2 linked regions of the Lepisosteus oculatus genome follow. The protein of the gene in region 2 purifies or fractionates together with the protein of the main gene of each other region. This does not show direct contact. Links are inferred from orthologs where the notes say so. Each region holds a gene or a part of one and is shown on either strand. Other genes may lie near its edges. The genes, in order: cycsb and apaf1.

Evidence for each region.
Region 1: the proteins of apaf1 (region 2) and cycsb purify together in Homo sapiens (affinity purification with western blotting; 3 studies listed by BioGRID and IntAct, with this or other methods). This does not show direct contact. The link is inferred for Lepisosteus oculatus from reciprocal best matches to the Homo sapiens genes APAF1 and CYCS.

The regions. Positions count from the first base shown.
Region 1 is NC_090707.1:17,826,672-17,836,664, forward strand, and holds cycsb (cytochrome c), read right to left. Parts: upstream 3,185-9,993; 5' UTR 3,076-3,184; intron 2,066-3,075; 5' UTR 2,057-2,065; coding exon 1,888-2,056; intron 1,794-1,887; coding exon 1,645-1,793; 3' UTR 1,552-1,644; downstream 1-1,551. UniProt on the Homo sapiens protein: Electron carrier protein. The oxidized form of the cytochrome c heme group can accept an electron from the heme group of the cytochrome c1 subunit of cytochrome reductase.
Region 2 is NC_090702.1:55,217,924-55,228,328, reverse strand, and holds the start of apaf1 (apoptotic protease-activating factor 1), read right to left. Parts: upstream 5,097-10,405; 5' UTR 4,957-5,096; intron 3,105-4,956; 5' UTR 3,022-3,104; coding exon 2,884-3,021; intron 580-2,883; coding exon 390-579; intron 1-389. Other genes in the region: ccdc87 (coiled-coil domain-containing protein 87), read right to left, coding at 9,228-9,428, 10,085-10,227, 10,401-10,405. UniProt on the Homo sapiens protein: Oligomeric Apaf-1 mediates the cytochrome c-dependent autocatalytic activation of pro-caspase-9 (Apaf-3), leading to the activation of caspase-3 and apoptosis. This activation requires ATP. Isoform 6 is less effective in inducing apoptosis.

The sequences.
Region 1 (9,993 bases), on a different chromosome or scaffold from region 2:
CATATGGATAACATCAGTACAATGCTCAACAAACCATTGAGCAACCAAACGAGCTCTGTGAATGAGGGCACTGGCATCCTGAAAGACAATAAATACTGCAACATGGGGTAGAGATGATCACTCTGTACCATTAAGTAGTAATTAGAAACACGCTTGCTTCCTAAGGGATTGAGTGCACCAAAACCATGCCAGAAAAATGTGTCCCACAGCATTACAGACCCACCCGAACCTGTTTGTACACTGCAACCAGACAATGGTATCCCACCCTGTGTAGTTCACAACAGAATGTATTTGATAAAACAGTCTTCTTGCAACCAGGGTTGCTCATCTGTTTTGGCTTGCACTTCACACAAATGTGTGGATATCACAATCGCAGAGTATGCCCTTTCACGCACTGTTCCCCATTGCCAGTGATATCTTTAGTTTGGAGTTCAACACTGACAGCACCTTAAATGCTGTCACTTTCAAAGTTAGAGCTCCCCTCTTGTTGCCACGGCAGCCGTAATTATAGGCACCCAGGCCTGTCTTACATGTTTGTACCTGACACAAAGAATGCTGGGATGATACTTGCTTACTTAACACATGAGGCACATCTGTATGGAAACCTTTGCTTTTAATCTACTTGACATCCCTGATTACCCAGTGTTTTCCTTTTTTGGTCCAATATCTGAAAAACAATGTATTTGGATAAGCTCCTCCTAGTGGTCTTCTGTTTTTAAGGCTAAACAGATTCACTTCTTAGGGTCCAGAAGACCGCTAGAATATCTTTGTAAGATATTACAAAGATACAGATATTCAGTAGAAACCTGGCAAAATCCTTCGTGGGAACAAGCAAATGACAGAGCAGATTCAATTAACTGTCAAGGTCAGAAGCATAAGAAAAAACAAATTTTAAAAATAACTGATTTAAGTTTTAAAACTTGTGAACACTGAAATGCCAGATATTACATTTTAGTCCTTGCTAAAAACCAGGGAAGAAAGAAACAAATTAAAATATTAGATTAACCTAAAAACAAATTAACTAAATGGATATTGCTGATTAAACCCCGAAGAGAGGCTCTATTAAGTGTATTAACTCTTCAAGGATAAGCAGATCCTGAGGTTATTTCTCAGCCAAGCTTTAATCAAGGCTTTAATCAGCACGCTGTCAAGAAACTACCGTATCATGTTGCTAACATACAACAGCCCCCCATCTATCATAAAACTGAAATAAAAGATGCATCAGTTCAATCATGATAATTATTTTAAAAGATGTACAGCTGCTTTCACAAACTAGTTTTAGAATTTTAGTATTTCCAGATTAAAAGTGTCTCAACTTCACTTTCACCCATGGAACCAGGGAAAAAGTTTACTCCTTCCAATTGGAGGTTCTTTGGAACAATCTGGGTATCATTTTGGTAGACTTATGTGCAACATGCCTTTGAGAATTGGAGGTTGTACCCTTAATTTACAACTTAAGATAATTCAACATAAAACATTTAATAGTGATTCACATAACAGATGAAGGCGAACTACAGAATAATACACTGAGAAAGACAAGACAGACTGTGATTGTTAGAGATTAAAAAGTTTAATATAGTCCACTAACAAAGACATAACATCAAAGCTGACTGTACACTGCAATTAATTTAAGATGAACATTTTCTATTCAGACGTTGCCTTCTTCAAATATGCAATTAGATCAGCCCGCTCTCCCTTCTTCTTGATGCCAGCAAAAATCATTTTGGTTCCTGGAATATATTTCTTCGGGTTTTCCAGGTATTCCATGAGGGTATCTTCACCCCACACAATGCCTGAAATTTAAACAGGAGAGAAGAGACATTAGTCTTGCAAACAAGAGGTTACTGCATTTGTGCAACAGATACAGCATATAATCCACCTACATACCTTTGTTCTTGTTTGCCTCCGTGTAAGAAAAGCCTTCTGCCTGGCCCGTCTTGCGCCCAAACAGACCCCACAGGTTTGGGCCGACCTTGTGCTTTCCTCCCTTCTCAACCGTGTGACACTGCGCACACTTCTGCACAAAAACCTTTTTTCCCTTTTCCGCATCAGCCATGATCCCTCCCTGTTCAAACAAGAAAAGAATAAACATTTAAAATCATCCAAAACAGCTGACAATGTTATGAACCTCAATATTTCAGAATGGATTTGTGACAGCTTATATGAAACTAAACAAAGTGGAGCTCTTTCAAACTACAGACACATCCTATTTTGAACATGATAAAGCCAACAGTTATCCTTTAAGAATAAAGTATAAACCACAATTTGTAATTGACAATATTGTAACATGATAAAATCTTTAAAACTCCTCATGTCCTGAAGGTGATAAAATTCTGGTAAAGGTCAACTTCTGAAATGATGTGTGAACAGCTACATTTCTTTACAAACATTTTTATGACCAAGTTAATATAATCTGACGATCTGCTACAGGAGTAAGTTAATCAAAGGTGACTAAAGACAGCTTTTCAAGAACAAACATTCGAATTAACACGTTTAAGATGGGATAGAGTTGATTTAATCAAGTCACACAATCCTATTGAAGTACACCAGAACAATAACGACCTTTAAGGAGATTTTAAACTTAAATATAAACTGTACAGTTGATCAAGCCTTCCGTATTTGTCATTTTCTTCTTTCATTTTAAAGTCCGTACTCCAATAAAAAGATTAATCCACCTGTTGGAGATGTTTTTAATGACAAAAAAGGCGATACTCGCTTACACGCCTTTAAGGCCACTTGCACTCGATTAAGCGACAGAACTCAGTAAGCTTCCGGTGTGATCCGAATGAAAGCTTCAATTTTACACTAAATAGAGAAAATAATTGGACGGTATTTATAATTGACATATCATCTATCTTTAAAGAATAAAACACTCGTGGACTCTTTCTTCAGTGGTTTCACATTATCGACATGCCGGCCTAAGAGCGCTCTTCCGCAAGCCTTTTTTGCTCACCTCCAACAAGGACACAACATTTAATATATTAAACGACTCGTAACTTCAAGATGCTCAAACGTAACATCGATGGGGAAGAAAATAAGAGGAAAAAGGACGAAAAACACAACAACATTCCTTACCTTTATGATAAATCCCAGAACAAAGAACCTTATGCAATGCACCACCCGCACCCTCTCCAGCCGGTTAAAGAAAAACTTCACAAATTACTAGAAGGTCACACGATTTACAGACGCGGATAATTGACGTCACAGACTAGCGCAAGCCAATCATGTGCTCCATGCCAACCTTCCTCACAGTGACGAAAACAGGGGAGCAGTTATAGCCCGTCCTTATATGGGAGAAGAGGATGGGAGCGTGTGGGTGATCGGTTCAGTGCGAATTTAAAGATATCATAAAAAACGAAACCATTGTGCCACGTCCGTGTTCTGTTTCTGATACCTGTAGGGCGGATTACGTGCAGGGAGACTGTTCTATTGCTAGCAGGGTTACTAAAGTTTAAAAGAGTTTGATATTACAGTGTAACAGTTTTAACCTTTAAATTAAAAATGTACATTTGACACTGTGGTGTTATACCCAAATAATTTACCAGCTCCTTCATCTGTTTTTCATTACTTTGCGTGTATCTAAAACAGTACCGATCTCAAGGTTAGTGTGGTGAAGAAAGGACATTTAATGGACATTGTCTATGTTGTGGCATTGCGCAGTTTTTGTGCTGTTGTCGGTGAAACGTTGACACGACGTTATTGTAAAGAATCCAGTTGTTATTACCAGATATTGAGTTGCCAAGAGAGCAAAAATGCATCTAAATATGTCCGGAATGAATCAGAAAGCGACAAGGATGCATTTAATATAATTTAAAAAATATTCATGGTACAAAGAACTAACATTTCCTAATTTAGAATTTTAAAATGCTGTTATAGATTCGGCAATAACAATGATAATGGAAAAGGAGAACATGCAAATAAAACCATCGTCTTAGATCTATTTCAGAGGGGCTATAAAACCTTAACACACATGTCCCTTTTCAAGAGCTAAACATTCTTATTTCATGCAAAAATCAATCTTAAGAAGCCGCTACTCCATGAGATATAATAATAATACATTGAAAATATTCAACAGATATAACCACAAAGACCCCCAAATGCATGACGTGTGTTAATGAGCAAAACTCAAAGTTGCGAAATGTTATTTTGGACGACCATAGGGTTGCCATTCCAAAATATCTATGTATTGGCTTCTCTGTCCAGGATTTGTTAATTAGCAAGGCCAAATGTCTATTTTTAAGATTATGGATTCATAATGAGATATGCAGGTTTGAACTGCGGAAAACGAGACAACTGTAGATTGGCATTATGCAATAGAAAAGTACATGGTCGAGTAGAATAATGAACATGAATGTGTTTCATGTTTGTCAATAAGCAAATAACACACATAAGCCTTTGAAGTCAGCCATTAAACAGTGGGTAAATGGGTAGTCTGGCTGGAGAAGAAAAGTTCTTTTATATATAGATAAAAAAAATCAGTTTATCTGTAAAATAAATTACTGTAATGCAATATTGGTTAAGACCAATGTCTCTGCTCTCTATGTAGAAAACTGCTCCCAGGTATGTGATTAAGTTTGCTGAAGGTCACTTGATGGTTAAGCTACTCATTCCTGTATTTTTTCTAAGACACAGGATTATAATGGTAAGGAAGGTGATTGCCTTTTTTTCTTTTTTATTGACATCAGCATACCAGAAAATTGCTGTCTTCACTTGATTAATAGAAGAAATACTGTATGATTCATTGAGCAAAAACATGTACAGGCAATTGTGTCCCAGAACACAACCCAGGGATGAGAAGAGATTCATGATAAATGCAGGTGATTTTGCAGTTTATTGTTTAACAATTCACCAGTTTTTAATGTAGGTCACATGGATAAATGGGTAAGTTAAAGAATTAAAAGTAAGAAAAAAAACACCAACACACAAGCCAGAGGAAAAAAAAGACTTGACACAGGTGTGCAAATTATAATGAGCTCTTTACTAACTCTTGCCTATAGCAAAATGCATCAGATAGAAGTCTGATGCATAGATATTTTGGAATGGCAACCCTATGGTCGTCCAAAATAACATTTCGCAACTTTGAGTTTTGCTCATTAACACACGTCATGCATTTGGGGGTCTTTGTGGTTATATCTGTTGAATATTTTCAATGTATTATTATTATATCTCATGGAGTAGCGGCTTCTTAAGATTGATTTTTGCATGAAATAAGAATGTTTAGCTCTTGAAAAGGGACATGTGTGTTAAGGTTTTATAGCCCCTCTGAAATAGATCTAAGACGATGGTTTTATTTGCATGTTCTCCTTTTCCATTATCATTGTTATTGCCGAATCTATAACAGCATTTTAAAATTCTAAATTAGGAAATGTTAGTTCTTTGTACCATGAATATTTTTTAAATTATATTAAATGCATCCAAGAATTATGAATTATGCAATAGAAAAGTACATGGTCGAGTAGAATAATGAACATGAATGTGTTTCATGTTTGTCAATAAGCAAATAACACACATAAGCCTTTGAAGTCAGCCATTAAACAGTGGGTAAATGGGTAGTCTGGCTGGAGAAGAAAAGTTCTTTTATATATAGATAAAAAAAATCAGTTTATCTGTAAAATAAATTACTGTAATGCAATATTGGTTAAGACCAATGTCTCTGCTCTCTATGTAGAAAACTGCTCCCAGGTATGTGATTAAGTTTGCTGAAGGTCACTTGATGGTTAAGCTACTCATTCCTGTATTTTTTCTAAGACACAGGATTATAATGGTAAGGAAGGTGATTGCCTTTTTTTCTTTTTTATTGACATCAGCATACCAGAAAATTGCTGTCTTCACTTGATTAATAGAAGAAATACTGTATGATTCATTGAGCAAAAACATGTACAGGCAATTGTGTCCCAGAACACAACCCAGGGATGAGAAGAGATTCATGATGACACTGCAACTTTGCCATGGCCTAGATAAGGTTTATATGTACAGTATGTTACACTCCAAATTGGGAAATGCATCTCATGGGATTCCTTGATACAATGAGCTGCTGGCAGATTTTCTGATCTTTTGTGCCAGGACTTCTATCTGATGCATTTTGCTATAGGCAAGAGTTAGTAAAGAGCTCATTATAATTTGCACACCTGTGTCAAGTCTTTTTTTTCCTCTGGCTTGTGTGTTGGTGTTTTTTTTCTTACTTTTAATTCTTTAACTTACCCATTTATCCATGTGACCTACATTAAAAACTGGTGAATTGTTAAACAATAAACTGCAAAATCACCTTCTGCAGAATGATACAAAAATCAGTTAATAATTTCACATAATAGCTACTACATCCCGTTTTACGGTTGCTGTACATTTTTATTTGGCTGACACTAACATCCAAAGCAACTTTACATTTTTACCTGTTCATATAGCTGGACATTTCCCTGGAACAATTTAGGTGAAGTACTTCATCTAGGGGTACCATAGCAGTATCTCAATTAGGATATGAAATCACAACCTTTCACTTACAAAGTTGGTCCTGATTTGGTCAGAGTTCTGACCATTGCTCCAAACTGCTGACCTTACAGAGCAACCCCTGGACACCCTATCGTCTCAGCATGCAACTGTCCCACAACTCACATCTCTGCCTTTTTCGACAGCCTTATGAGACCGCTGGTTGAAGGGCTTCCTTCATATATCAAGGACACCAACCATACCCTCTAACTTTTTAATGATTTCCAGTTTCAGGGCCCAGAATGTTACATTTTTACCATGGACATCACATCTTGTACGTCTTGCGGAATTGGTCCTCACACTGAATGCTTTCTCATTCAATAACCTTTTTTATGAGCAGGTTAGTGGAGTCGCCATGGGCACCAGGATGGGACTCAGCTATGATATTTTTGTCGGCTGGGTAGAAAAATGCTTCTATGCTGCCTACACCAATGTTGTCCCCAACGTCTACATTGATGACTGCATCGGTGTCGCCACATGCTCTAATGACCAGCTAGAGCATTTCCAGCATCACTTCATCAACTTCCACCCATCCCTCAAGTATACAGTTAACATATCTTCTTCTATTCCATTTCTAGACATAAACCTATCCATTAACCAACCACGACTCTACTTCTGTCTATTACAAACCCACAGATTCACACAGCTATCTCTTGTACAGCTCATTTCACCCCACACAAACTAAAAATTCTCTCCCTTTTTCACAGTTCCTAAGGCTCTGACGACTTTGCAGTGATGACATGGATTTCCAAAAACATCTTTTTTTCCATCAGCAGAGGATACACCCATGTTATTGACAGGGCCCTCACCTTAGCCATAAACAGCCCTCATATCATCAACTCAATCAGGAATTTCCAGTCTCACAACTGCATTTCATTGGTGCTTCCCTGTCACCCTAACATCCTTTCTATCACCAGGACCATTAACAAAAACTTCCCCATCTTACCGGATGATCCCTCCACTGGTACCATTTTTTATGCCTGCCCCACCATCTCATATTTCAAACCACCTAATCTGCCTAACATTTTTGTTCACAGCTCCCTTGTCCGCCCTCAGCAATCATCCACACCAGGCACTTTCCCCTGCAACAGAATTCGCTGCATAACCTGTAAATACGTATACTGTATATCCAATACCACACACATTCAAGGCCCCTCTGGACAATTCTGGATCACCCAGATGACATATTGTACCTCTAGCAGCCTTATCTACTGGATCTCTTGCAGAAAATGCCCAGCTACTGTATCTACATTGGGGAAACAGGAAGGAGACTGGGAGACCGCTTCAGGTAATATGTCAGGGCTGTGAGGATCAAAGATCTCTCCAAGCCCATAGTTTCTCATTTCACCTCCAATGGCCATGATCATACTGATCTCTCCGTCTGCGTTCTCAAAGGGGAGTTTCTACGCTCCTATTGCAGAAAGACATCTGAAACCAAAATTATCCTTCCCCCTTCTCTCAACAACAGACACATTTCCTTCTAATCCTCTCTCTTCATTTGCAGGTTTTCACTTTACACCTGTCTTCACCTCTCTCGACATCTGAGTGCCCACTCTGCCTTTTGTTCTCCCATGCTTTATTATCTATTGACTTTCCTCTTTTTCTCTCACCTGAAGAAAGCTACACAGCCAAAACGTTGTTGTCATGATTGTAGTCCCTCCCCCTTAAGGGTGCTCCAGCTCTTTCACTTCTGGGTTGATTGTGGGAACCTGCCCCCTGTTCCAGCCTCCTATTCAGCCCACCTTAAAAGCCAGTCGCTCACTCTGTTCCGGGCTCTGCATTGGTTCCTGTTCCAGGGGAGTCCGGGACTTGTAGTGCCTGGTCCCGTTCCCCCCCTTTTCCCCCTGACCGTCCACCGAATCCCCCGAATCCCCCTTCGGTTTTTAATCCCATTTGTCTTAGTCTCGGATGGACCACCCGGCTCTGGACATTTGCCTCATCTTGGATTTCCCTTTGGACTCCCTTTTGGACAGTTTGCCTTGGATTCACCCCCCAGAACACCTGCGCACCATGGACACACCCCCTGTTTTCAATCCTGACCCCTGCATGCTTTTTTCCCTGTGTTTTCCTCACTCTTCCTCAGATTGTGTCATCTGCATAGGGTCCTGAAAGGACGCATTCATTACAGTTGTGTTTTTTTTCTTCTCTTTTCAGCATAAACCTTTACTTTTTCCCTTACAGAGCAATGCTCTTCATCTGATAACTGCATTTTTGTGGATTGGTTTCTATTTTATTTTCAATTTTTTGTGTTTATTCAGCAAGTATTCAACAAATATGTCCATCTGCAGGAACTTATTCCGGACTCGAACGTTACCATCGGCGGCTTTCAGACGGTGCGGGCGGACAGAAACACCGAGAGCGGTAAGAGGAAAGGAGGGGGGCTCGCGGTGCTTGTAAACAACAGATGGTGTAATCCTGGACATATTCATGTTAAGGAGCGCGTCTGTAACCCGGACATCGAACTGGTAGCCGTAGGACTGCGTCCATACTATCTGCTGCGGGAGTTTACATGCGCCATCTTTGTTGTTGTTTACATTCCACCTACGGCAAATGCAGAGGTAGCGTGTGACGTCATAAACACAGTCACAGGCAGGCTACAAACAAAGCACCCAAGCGCTTTTATAGCTATTTCAGGGGACTTTAACCACGTATCTATTTCCACCACTCTGCCTACTTTCCACCAGTTTGTTAAGTGCCCGACCAGGGAAAACAAAACACTGGACTTATTATATGCCAATGCTAAGGATGCATATAGTTCCACAGCCCTTCCCCCCCTTGGCAGATCAGATCACAACCTTGTCTTGCTTACACCACTATACAAGCCTATTGTCCAGCGCCAATCTGTGACCATGAGGACTGTGAGGAGATGGTCTCAGGATGCTATGGAGGATCTACGTGGTGCTTTGGAGGCCACCAACTGGGATGTGCTGTTCGAACCACATGGGGACGACATAGACAGCATGGTGGACTGTGTCACTGACTATATTAACTTCTGCGTAGACAACACCATCCCCACCAAAGACGTACACTGCTTTTCAAATAACAAACCCTGGATCACCAGCGACCTGAAGGCTCTTCTGAATGACAAGAAGAGAGCCTTTAGGGGGGGAGATAAGGAAGAGGTCAAGCGTGTACAGAGGGAGCTAAAGCAGAAGTTAAGAGAGAGCAAGGACGCCTACAGGAGGAAGGTAGAGGACAAGCTGCAAAGGAATAGGGTGAGAGATGTATGGAGCAGCATGAGAGAGATCACTGGCTTCAAACAGGCTGGGGTTGCAACAGAAGGGAACCTGGAGATGGCCAACGAGTTGAACCAGTTCTTTAACAGGTTTGATTCTGGGTCCTCTGTGGCGCAACACCCATCCCCCCACAGCCACACGCTCCCTAACCCTTCACAGCTGCAACTGCCCAACACCTCCTCCATCCCCCCACAAACATGGCCGCCTACAGCTACAAGCCCCGACGGCTGCTCACCCACCCATCCCCCACAGCTGCCACTCTCCAACACCTCCG
Region 2 (10,405 bases):
AGGAAAGGGCTGAACACTAATCTAGTCTCGCCAGCAGCTCAAGAAGTTGTCCAGACAAGTATGCTTTTTAACAGAACACATGCGCAGTTCTCCGCACAATGATCGCTGTTACAATGACTGAAGTCACAGCTCATGACAAAGTCACCCTAAACCCCAGATGGCAGTGAACGATTTGCACTCAACTGGGATCTAGTGAAGACACAGGGGCTGCTAATGACTGTATAAAGGGAAACATGCAGTTGGAAAATAAACACTGAAGGAACTCTATAATAATAACTCTATATTTGGAATCCCTGGTCTGCATACATTACACAATAAGACTGCACTGCACAACACGGATATTTTTCGAATACAGGTGATAACGCAGGAAAACCGCTGCGCGACCTCACCTCCGGGATTCTCGCCATCCGGGAAGCTCTTGTCGGCTCTGGGCGAGATCAGAGGAAGGTCCTTCTGCAGCAGGGAGGCGAGGTCACTGTAGCTCTCGCGGATCAGAGCGTTGTAGAGAGAGACGTAGGCATGGTTATCCTTCCTTAAAATCAAATCGATCAAGGCGGCCGCTTGCTCCCTCCGGGTTGCCTGTCGGTCGAGAGGAAAAAGGAAATTAAACACAAAGGTACAGAACACAGGGTTAAGAGTAGACCAGGTGAATGTCATCATGCTGAAAGCTGTTGATCTTAAACAGCAGATCTTCAATAGGTTTGCCATGACACCTTGAGAAAACAAATCGTTTTATTTTTTTTGAGCACCTCTGTTACTTTTCTTTGCCACTTTGCGGGACACCAAGTTACACCCAGGGTTACTTTCACCCAGGGACGCCAGTTCATGACAGAACACACACAGTCACACACACTTGTAATGGGGACAATTAAACTCTCAATGAATAGAACTAATGAAGCAATAGCAGAGACACCTGACAACACGCCGAGATGGAGTAAGACTTTTAATCTCATAATGGAAACTTTTAGGCTTCTGACAAGGTCAAAAAATACTGCAACTGTGGAAAATGGAGCAAACTGCAGATATAAGCGCCCGCTGTTTCAGATACAGGACATCATAAAAGAAAGCAGATTATTACTGGCCAGGGTCACAGAAACCTCTCCAGGAAACACAGGTCACAAATCAGGACACCGCCAACTGCAGGGCATACATGACTGTCCTGACTGTACACACAGAGGCAATCAAGATAAGAAGCAGGAGGACACAGGAGTGCCCAGAGACAGAACACGCAGGGCTCCATACAGAAGGCACCCAACTGTAGAAAGCACAGAAACTGAAAGTGCTTGCTGCTCCTCTACTGTGCTACCCACATATCTCTCCCGTGGGACAATGGCAGTTAAACTATTTCACAAGACACAGGTTAAAAACACGTCCGGCGCTCATCACACCAACACAGCAGCGTGAAAAGAGGAAGGAAACACATAGCAGCTCCACCAGAAAATGCACACTGTAAAAAGTGCTGTGACTTGTCAGCTGCTCTTCTTTCATTCAAGGCTTGTGAGGGATCAGGTGTCAAAAGCACTCCTGTTGGGAGAGCCATAAGCCCATTCAAGAACATGGGATGGAAAGGCTCATCAGCTGACTCCAAGATCATAAGAAACGTTGTGTTCTCATGTCTCTGTATGACCAATGTGCACACAAAACAATGAGATCTGCTGCTAAACGGCCTATTCACATTGTTTTCTCATGTCCTTACAGCCTAAACCGCTAACAACTGCATTATTTTTACTTTTTCAGTCAGGTGAAATTTGATCATTACTACTAATAAACTTTTGTGCCGAGTGCTTTTCATGATGTTAAATTCAAGGCTCCTCATTATAATTGGACCAATCAAAAATACCGATATGGGAACACACAAATAACAGCAAATCAAACGAATACAAGTGTGCCAATGAGCTGGAAGACAGGAGCCAAAAGTGCTGACTGTCTTGCGAGATCTGATCCGTGGTGGGAGATCACTTTGCAACCTCGGAGCAATGGGACAGAAAGCAGACCCTCGGGGTCCCCCACAGGGTCCGGAGCCTCGCATTGGGGACTGAAATAAGAGTCTAAAGAGCACGTAGATGTGTAGGGGATTAACACTTCACTCATCTCATGAGGAGCCAAACTGTTCACGCATGCATTTTAGTTTTAGTTCAGTTCTGAGCAGCCTGAGCTGTTAATACGCTGCAACTTGAAAATCATGTTTTGGAAACCCAAGAGAGCACTCTATCAAAATAGTCTGCTAAGACAAAAGCACGCATTAGCTTTTCTGTATTAGGTTGAGAGCCATATAAATGGATACAAGTGATATTATGAACATGATAAATGTCACTTTTACAACATAATGAACATGAGCTTCATATTCAAGGTTTGGATCAAAGACGCCAACATTTCTAACTGGAGTTGCTTAACAGACCAGGACCATCAATACTCAAGCTAAGACTGACACATTCAGTAAGATGTTAAATTAACCTCAGAGGATTAAAGAATATGTTAGCTCATAAACTCTGGGGGGGGGAAGGGTTCCAGAATTACTCTTCCCTTCTTCAATCAGTTTCCCACAACATGCTGTACTTGTGACAGTCAGTGCATTTCACAGGACTGCTGGTGTAGCTTAAAAGCTTGTAAATGAACAGAGTGCTTTATCTACGTTCCAAGTTTAGACCCATGAGGTTTCATGAAGTGAAGCCTGTTGTTGTACCAAGTGGAGTGATGTGAATATGGGATTTCTCTCCTTTCGCCCACAGCCAACCAATCAGAAATGTCACCCAGGATCGAACCTTAAACATCAAGGAGCACTCAAGTCTAGTCAGCTGAGGGACACCAACAGGAGGACTGAATATGGACTCTAGGTTAAAATACCGGAGGCTCAACACTAAGCTTCTGAAAAAGGAAGCACACCTTGGCTTTGACGGTCTCCTCTTCATCTGCGCTGAGCACCTCATCGCTAACCATGTGGTCCATGAGGTAGAGGGCCTTGATATCGTCCTCCAGTTTGGACCTGGAGCACAACAGCCTGCTGCGAGCCCGCTCCTCCATGACCTCTCCGCTGGAAACAACACATGCAGCTCTCACTCCGGCCAGGAGACACCAGCGGCACCAGTAAGACAGCCGACGTCAGGCTGTACAAACAAAAGAAAAGCAACAAGACACATCACAGCAGCTGGCCTATAACCAGACCTAAAGCAGCCAGCAGCTCTGTCACCCTGCAGCTCACCACTGGCAGCCCACTGAAGCCCAGCAGGTGTGAGCCTGGCCAGTACCTGGATGGGAGACTCCTGGGAAAGCTGAGGCTGCTGCTGGAAGAGGTGTTAGTGGGGCCAGCAGGGGGCGCTCACCCTGTGGTCTATGTCAGTCCTAATGCCCCAGTACAGTGACGGGGACACTGTACTGTAAAAAGGTGCCGTCCTTCGGATGAGACGTAAAACTGAGGTCCTGACTCTCTGTGGTCATTAAAAATCGTAGGGTGTTTCTTGAAAAGAGTAGGGGTGTAACCCTGGCTTCCTGGCCAAATTTCTCCTTGGCCTTTACCAGTCTTGGCCTCCTTATAACCCCCATCTCTGAACTGGCTTCATCATTCTGCTCTCCTCCCCACTGAGAGCTGGTCTGTGGGAAAAGTACTGGTGCATCATCCAGGTGGGGCTGCACACTGGTGGTGGTGGAGGAGATCCCCATTACCTGTAAAGCACTTTGAGTGTCCAGAAAAGCGCTATATAATAAGTGTAAGGAATTCATTTAGACTTTGCAGAATTTACACTTTAAAAACAACCAGACTAAATTTGACCATATTAAAAAAGGAAAAGATAAATGTTTATTTGAGGTTCTGAAAAACAGCCAAAGATATTTAAACATATTGCTACAATTATGGCAATTGAGTTTGTGTGCGAGGATCAAATGGCCAGTGACAATTTGCAAAGGTTTTCTTCAAAACGGAAATAAAATACAGATGGCATTAAACCTACCTAATAACAACATTCGGAAGCAGCGCGAAAATAACCTATACGGAACAAAGTTCACTTGACAAGTTTACACTTGAGTCATTTTGAAGTAGTACTGTCTCTTTCACTTTGTGCCTGAACTACTAATATAAGAACATTAGCTGAAAGTTTTTCCGAAGCAATCATTTCTCTTAGCAGCTGATAAAGGTAAAACGCCGTTTCAGATTGAAACCTATTTTCTCTCGTCATTGTTCCAAGATGAGACGTAGTACCAAATCTATCGATTTCTCCACACCTATAGTGGAGACCTGTTTCACTTTGCCAAGCTATTTCTGTATTTCCGAACAAAGCATGCTTTGCATATTTATATTTTCTATTTATAACTAAATGTTACCATATCATACTTTAACTTTACTTAACTTTTACTTTATCATAAAAATAAGACACGTAAGAGGACTGTAGAACTTTTAAAACAGGTTGAGAGGAAGGTCTGCACTACTAGAAAATGTAGAAATTTTGTTTTCTACATGCATGTCAGCATTTCGGGTAAAACGGAAAAAATGCTGACATGCTTGGGCGAAACTGCTGTTTTAAAGGTAAAATTCGTTAGTTGATTTGACCAAAAGAGCAGTCACAACGAAGGAACGGAGTTAAAAAAACGAGGGATTTGTTTCAAATACTGAAGATAATATTCCTGTGAGAAGCAGGCTGTAAATACCCGAGAATGAACTACTCTCTGTACTGAACTGAAAGAGACATTTAAATCAATTGTCGTGAAATTACAGAAAGACCACCGTCAGTTAGCCTTCGAGTGCAAATCCAGAGTACGTGTTTAACATTTAAAAAGTCACCATAGAAACACATTTCCTCTTAGATAGCACCTCTTTTGCATCTATATAAACGGGCAAGGTTTATCAGATCTCAGAACCTGAGATCAACGTCCAAATCGGTCGGGCTGATTATAATGAACTACCAGTTGTTGAATTACATAAAAAATAAATTTCTCACAAGTCCCCAACAAATTAAAGACGCTTACCAGAAGGAGTGTTGTTTTCTTTGCATCTCAATTTCCTCTACATCGTCTATAGTCTCATGTCCGATGCAATTCAGGGTTTCAGAAACTATTACCAGCTCCTCCCTGTTCAGTTTCTGTTTACATGTTTCAAGAAAGAACGCCTCCCTTACGTCAGACCAGTTTAAATGCACTTCCTGGAGTGGAAACAACTTCCTGGTTCGGCCATCCAATTGGCTGCGCGCCCTTGGGTCACATGATACGCGGGGGACTCCGCCTACCTCTGCTGTATCTGGGCAGAGCAGTGAGTTCCATAGGGCAACATGGAATGTGCATTAATAATGTCTTTTATAATGAGACTCTGTATGCTCTCTGTGCATGAAGATAAAGATGTGCAAATGTGCCGATATTGACCCAATGCATTGTGTGATCACCTTAAGTTAATTTTAATTAAACGGCTTAAACGAACGTGGAAATAATAATTACAATTAATTATTTCGCTCATTTTAATAATTATCCCTGAGACCGAGGAAGAGCGTTTATAAATCAAGGTCTAGCCGTTAAACCCCGTCCACCCCCTCGACTCTCACGCCTCGTGGTAGACAGTGTCTTCACAACAGCAACACATTTCATCACCATGGCTCAGACACAGGAATACAGAGCGCTCGCTAAAATACACCAGCTGTATGGCGACCTGAAACAAGATGCGCCCCTTTGACGAAAGCAGAAGACACTCGAGTGGTCTGGGTTCCTCTTGGGCACTATGCTCAGGAAGCAGCCCAAGAGCCCGTGAGACTCTGCGAGGCGCCCAGTACAGGTGAGTGACCAGGTATTTCACTCCCTCACACTGCTTGCACACCTGCTTGTTGTTCAGTATCTCACATACATTGTTTTTTACTGTGGTCCAGTGCTTCTACTGCGCCTCACTTATTAAGTGAGAGATAAGTAACTGGCCAGAGCATACCTTACTCTAAAAGCACGTTTTGGCTGGTATGTCACTGGGAGGTTTTCTTTCCAAACTCAGGCTGCAGGTGTGGGCCTTGGCAGTTGGCCTGACCAGGGTCCGTCCGCCATACACCCATGGGTGCAGATGTGAAATACAGACTACAGACTCTAATGTTCTCATGTCATTTCAGCTTCCTCAATCTGGCTCACAGGCGCAAGACCTCGGAGAGGAGCACCTAGCGTTCCGATGAGACAAGCCGCCTTCTTCAGAGGAAGATGAGCTGCCACAGAAGGCTCTCGGAAGAAATGGAGCTGCCCTTCAGCCATGTGTAACTGGGGACAGCGCAGATAACGCCTGATCAGAATCGGCCTCCTGTATTGGAGAACTGCACTGTTTCTCTGTCAGTAGTCTGTATTTCACATCTGCACCCATGGGTGTATGCCTGGTCAGGCCAAATGCCAAGGCTCACACCCGCAGCCTGAGTTTGGAAAGTAAACCTCCCAGTGACATACTGGTCAAAACGTGCTTTTAGAGTAAGGTATGCTCTGACCAGTTACTTATCTCTCACTTAATAAGTGAGGCGCAGTAGAAGCACTGGACCACAGTAAAAAACAATGTATGTGAGATACTGAACAACAAGGTTTAACTATTTGATTGGACAACAGAAAGATAACGGGTAATGAGATTTTGTCAACTGTTTCAAAATCTCTAAATATCAAAAACCTAATACAATTGGAGAGACTTTTTCATTACATATATACCCCAAAACAGTGGTAGTAATAATAATAATAATAATAATAATTATTATTATTATTATTCCTTACACTTATATAGCACTTTTCTGGACACTCCACTCAAAGCTCTTTACAGGTAATGGGGATCCCCTCCACCACCACCACTGTGCAGCCCCACCTGGATGATGAGCCAGTCCGCTCCCCACACACCAGCTCTCAATGGGGAGGAGAGCAGAGTGATGGAGCCAGTTCAGAGATGGGGGTTATTAGGAGGCCATGACTGGTAAAGGCCAGGGGGAAATTTGGCCAGGACACCGGGGTTACACCCCTACTCTTTCCGGGAAACACCCTAGGATTTTTAATGACCACAGAGAGTCAGGACTGCGGTTTTATGTCTCATCACATTTTACATAAACTCATTTTTACAGTATAGTGTCCCCATCACTATACTGGGGCATTAGGACCCACACAGACTGTAGGGTGAGCGCCCCCTGCTGGCCCCACTAACACCTCTTCCAGCAGCAACCTTAGCTTTCCAGGAGGTCTCCCATCCAGGTACTGACCAGGCTCACACCTGCTGAGCTCCAGTGGGCTGCCAGCGGTGAGCTGCAGGTTGATATGTTAAGAATAAACAATTTGTCCCATACTTTAATACATTAAGTGTGGGACCGACTGAGTGCAAGGACTTGGAACAACCCAGAAGGACCATGTGACTAAAAAGGATGGGCAATTCTTTAAAGCAGAAGGACCATCGTTTGATTAAGCTAGTCGTTCCACTTTAAAAACCAGTTCTTCCCCTAGAACCATAGGATAGTAATCCTTAGGAGTCCTTCTACTTTCATGTATCAGACTGTGTACTAAGTGTACCTCAACAACACCTTGCGTCAAACTTACAATGTTCAGTCATTCATCGTAACTTAAACATTGAATCAAATGGTAAAGATAAAACTCTGATTAACATTTACCTTGCACAACATTACTGAGGTTTATCTCTCACGGTCTGCCCCTACATATAAAAATAGTCAGGCTCTTCCTGTCTACTTCAGCAAGAACAATAACCTCAGACTGTTATTTGTGAATGCACACAGAGACCAAACAGGACAACTGGCCTCCTCTTGTTTGCAATCTTTTCTATGTTCGTGTGAAACAGATGAGCAGATTGAAACTACTTACTTGTTACTATATATGTCATTAGAGAAGAAGTAGAAGAACTTTAATTATTATTACTTAACATTAATAGATCACTTTATATCCCAAAAGCTGGAGAACGAATTAATCTATTGCTGAAGTGCCGCAAACCCTTTGGTGGCAGATGGCAGCCAGTTTTGTGTTGAAAGCCCCGGCACACAGATTATAAAGCAGAAAAGAGAGAGATGAGCCTTCAGCATTTGAGTTAGAGAAACTTCAGAGCCCAGATTGTAAAAGCTCTTGGGCTCTATCATGGCCTGCTAATCAGGACCTCAGCTAAATATCTTAACTGAAGGAAAACACCTCCTACAGGACGGTATCCCCAGGCAGCATACGAAGACTTTAGATAGGAGATTCCGGTTTAGATTCTCCAACCTGTTACTGCTACTGTTCTACCAACATTTACACCAGCAACCTTGTTTGTCGTAGAGGTTTCCTATCTGATAAGTGAGCAGAGCCAGCCTTTCTCAGCTTCTGAGATCAAGTTTTTGGTAACACTTTTACATGTAAGACTTTTATTATGTCTCTAACATTCCTGCATATTCATTCTGGGCATGTCCATTTTTCCCTTTTATCAAGAGATATTCTGAGGGAGAAAGTTCTGAGGAAGAAATTGCTTAAATTTGTAGGCACCGCAATGTGGTCTTTTAAACATAAAGATCTGTGTTTAAAACTTTAAAAGTTCCTTCTTGGATGTCCTACTTTACAACCCTTGTTACTCTCTTAAATATTTAGTGTTGGCTTATGAAAGAAAAAATGAATTATTAATGGAGTATAAAAGATCTAAATAAAAACACAGTTTTGATCCACAACATCCTCACAATCCATATTCCTTACACCGGAAAGGGTTGTACACGGAGAATCAGAAAAATAACTATTACTTTTGACTACAACATATAGATAAAGTCATTAGGAAAATCATTACCCTTTTTGGCACAGATGCAGTCATTCTGTTGGTTAGACATGACATAGGTAAATGTTTTAGACTGAGGTGTATTTGTCATCAACGGGGATGATCAAGATGAGTCAGCAATGAATGTCAAGAGTCTAGTAGTGTGTGTGGACAAAGCACAAGCTGTACATCTGCGACATGGCCTTTTGGCACCAGGTTTTAGATGCTGTCTTGTGGGATTCTGTAAACGAATCCTTTATTTAATTGATATATGAATGAAATGTCCCGATACGGTAAACTCCGCTCACCTGAAAAACTTCCACAGGCACAGCCCCAACACACCTGGCTGAAGCACTTGCCATCAAACATCCCTTGCTGAAACTGCTTTTATTCATTTCTCATATCATATATTTTCTTGCAACATCAAGAGGATTTTTTCCTCTCAATGTGCTTTAATCTGACAAGTAGTTCAAAAGTAAAAAGCGAGCGAGTCCAGGTGTCCCAGGATGAGAGCGGTGCTGAGGGGTGGGCACGCTCACAGCGGTGTGGGGTGCGTCAGGGAGTGCCCCGCTACTCCTGAGCCAGGCTGGGGTGGCAGCTGCAGGGGGGGCAGCCTGACGGGCTGGCCCACCCCACACTCTAGCACCCTGTCCATGGCCTGCATGCGGCGCCCCTGCTGCAGCCAGTAGAGCATCTCGATTTTGTCCCAGCGCATCTTCTCGGCATAGGGCCGGCCCTGAAACAGGCCGAACAGAGCAGTCAGAGATCCGGCGCTGTTGCTGCATAACACACATCACGTCAGTAATGAGCACAAGCACCATCGCAGCGCGCAAAAGGAAGGGCTCAGACACTTGACTTTGTGTGAATAGAATCAAAAAGGCTCATTTTCTGTTGAGAAGGAGGGTAGCGTAAATATGCAACATTCAATATTATGTTTTCATGTAATCCTGAAGGATTTACAAAATGTTTTCTCATCCCCATCACAATTTCTTTTGCGATTATTAGCTGCTGGTTATCTGAATCAGATGTAGTTCAAATTTCAGTTTGTTTTCCATCTGCTGGAAGTGAGCAAGCTTTCATATTCCAAAACAGTGTAAAAACTACACAGTCCTACAGTAGTCTGCCCTGAATACACAGATTTACAGCGCTGGCACTGAGTTCCATTCTAGAGACAGCTAAGAAACAGCATTTCTCCTCACCTGTGCAAGTTCTAACATTTCAGGTGATCCTAGTGGGATTGTTCAGGACAAAAGGGAAAAGCAAGAATATTGAAAAATAGTGATTGCAAGCTTTAAGCGTGTTAATCTACAGAGGCAAAGACAACAGCACACAAAAAAAGCCTGAGTGTGCTTTAAACTTTTCGGAAGCTGAGGACATACAAGTGCCACTTACTTTATATGTGACCGTGTCATTGAAGTGATCTTTGACTCGATGCACAGCCTTCGACAACAGGCTTTCAACAGCGGAGATCTCGGAGTGCAGTTTTCCCCTTCGCTTAGATTCGTCCAATCTTGCAATTGATGTACCACGATACCCTACACAAAATTGATGCAATACTGTACATCATGGTTTGTTGCTCATTTCGCTTTTCACTGCTTAAGATCATCATGTCAAGTGAGGTTCTTACTGGTTTTAAGGGCATCAACAGGACGCTGTTCAATATAGGAGTTATTTTATGAATTACACAATAAAGCTGTCAGAACAGTACCTCGT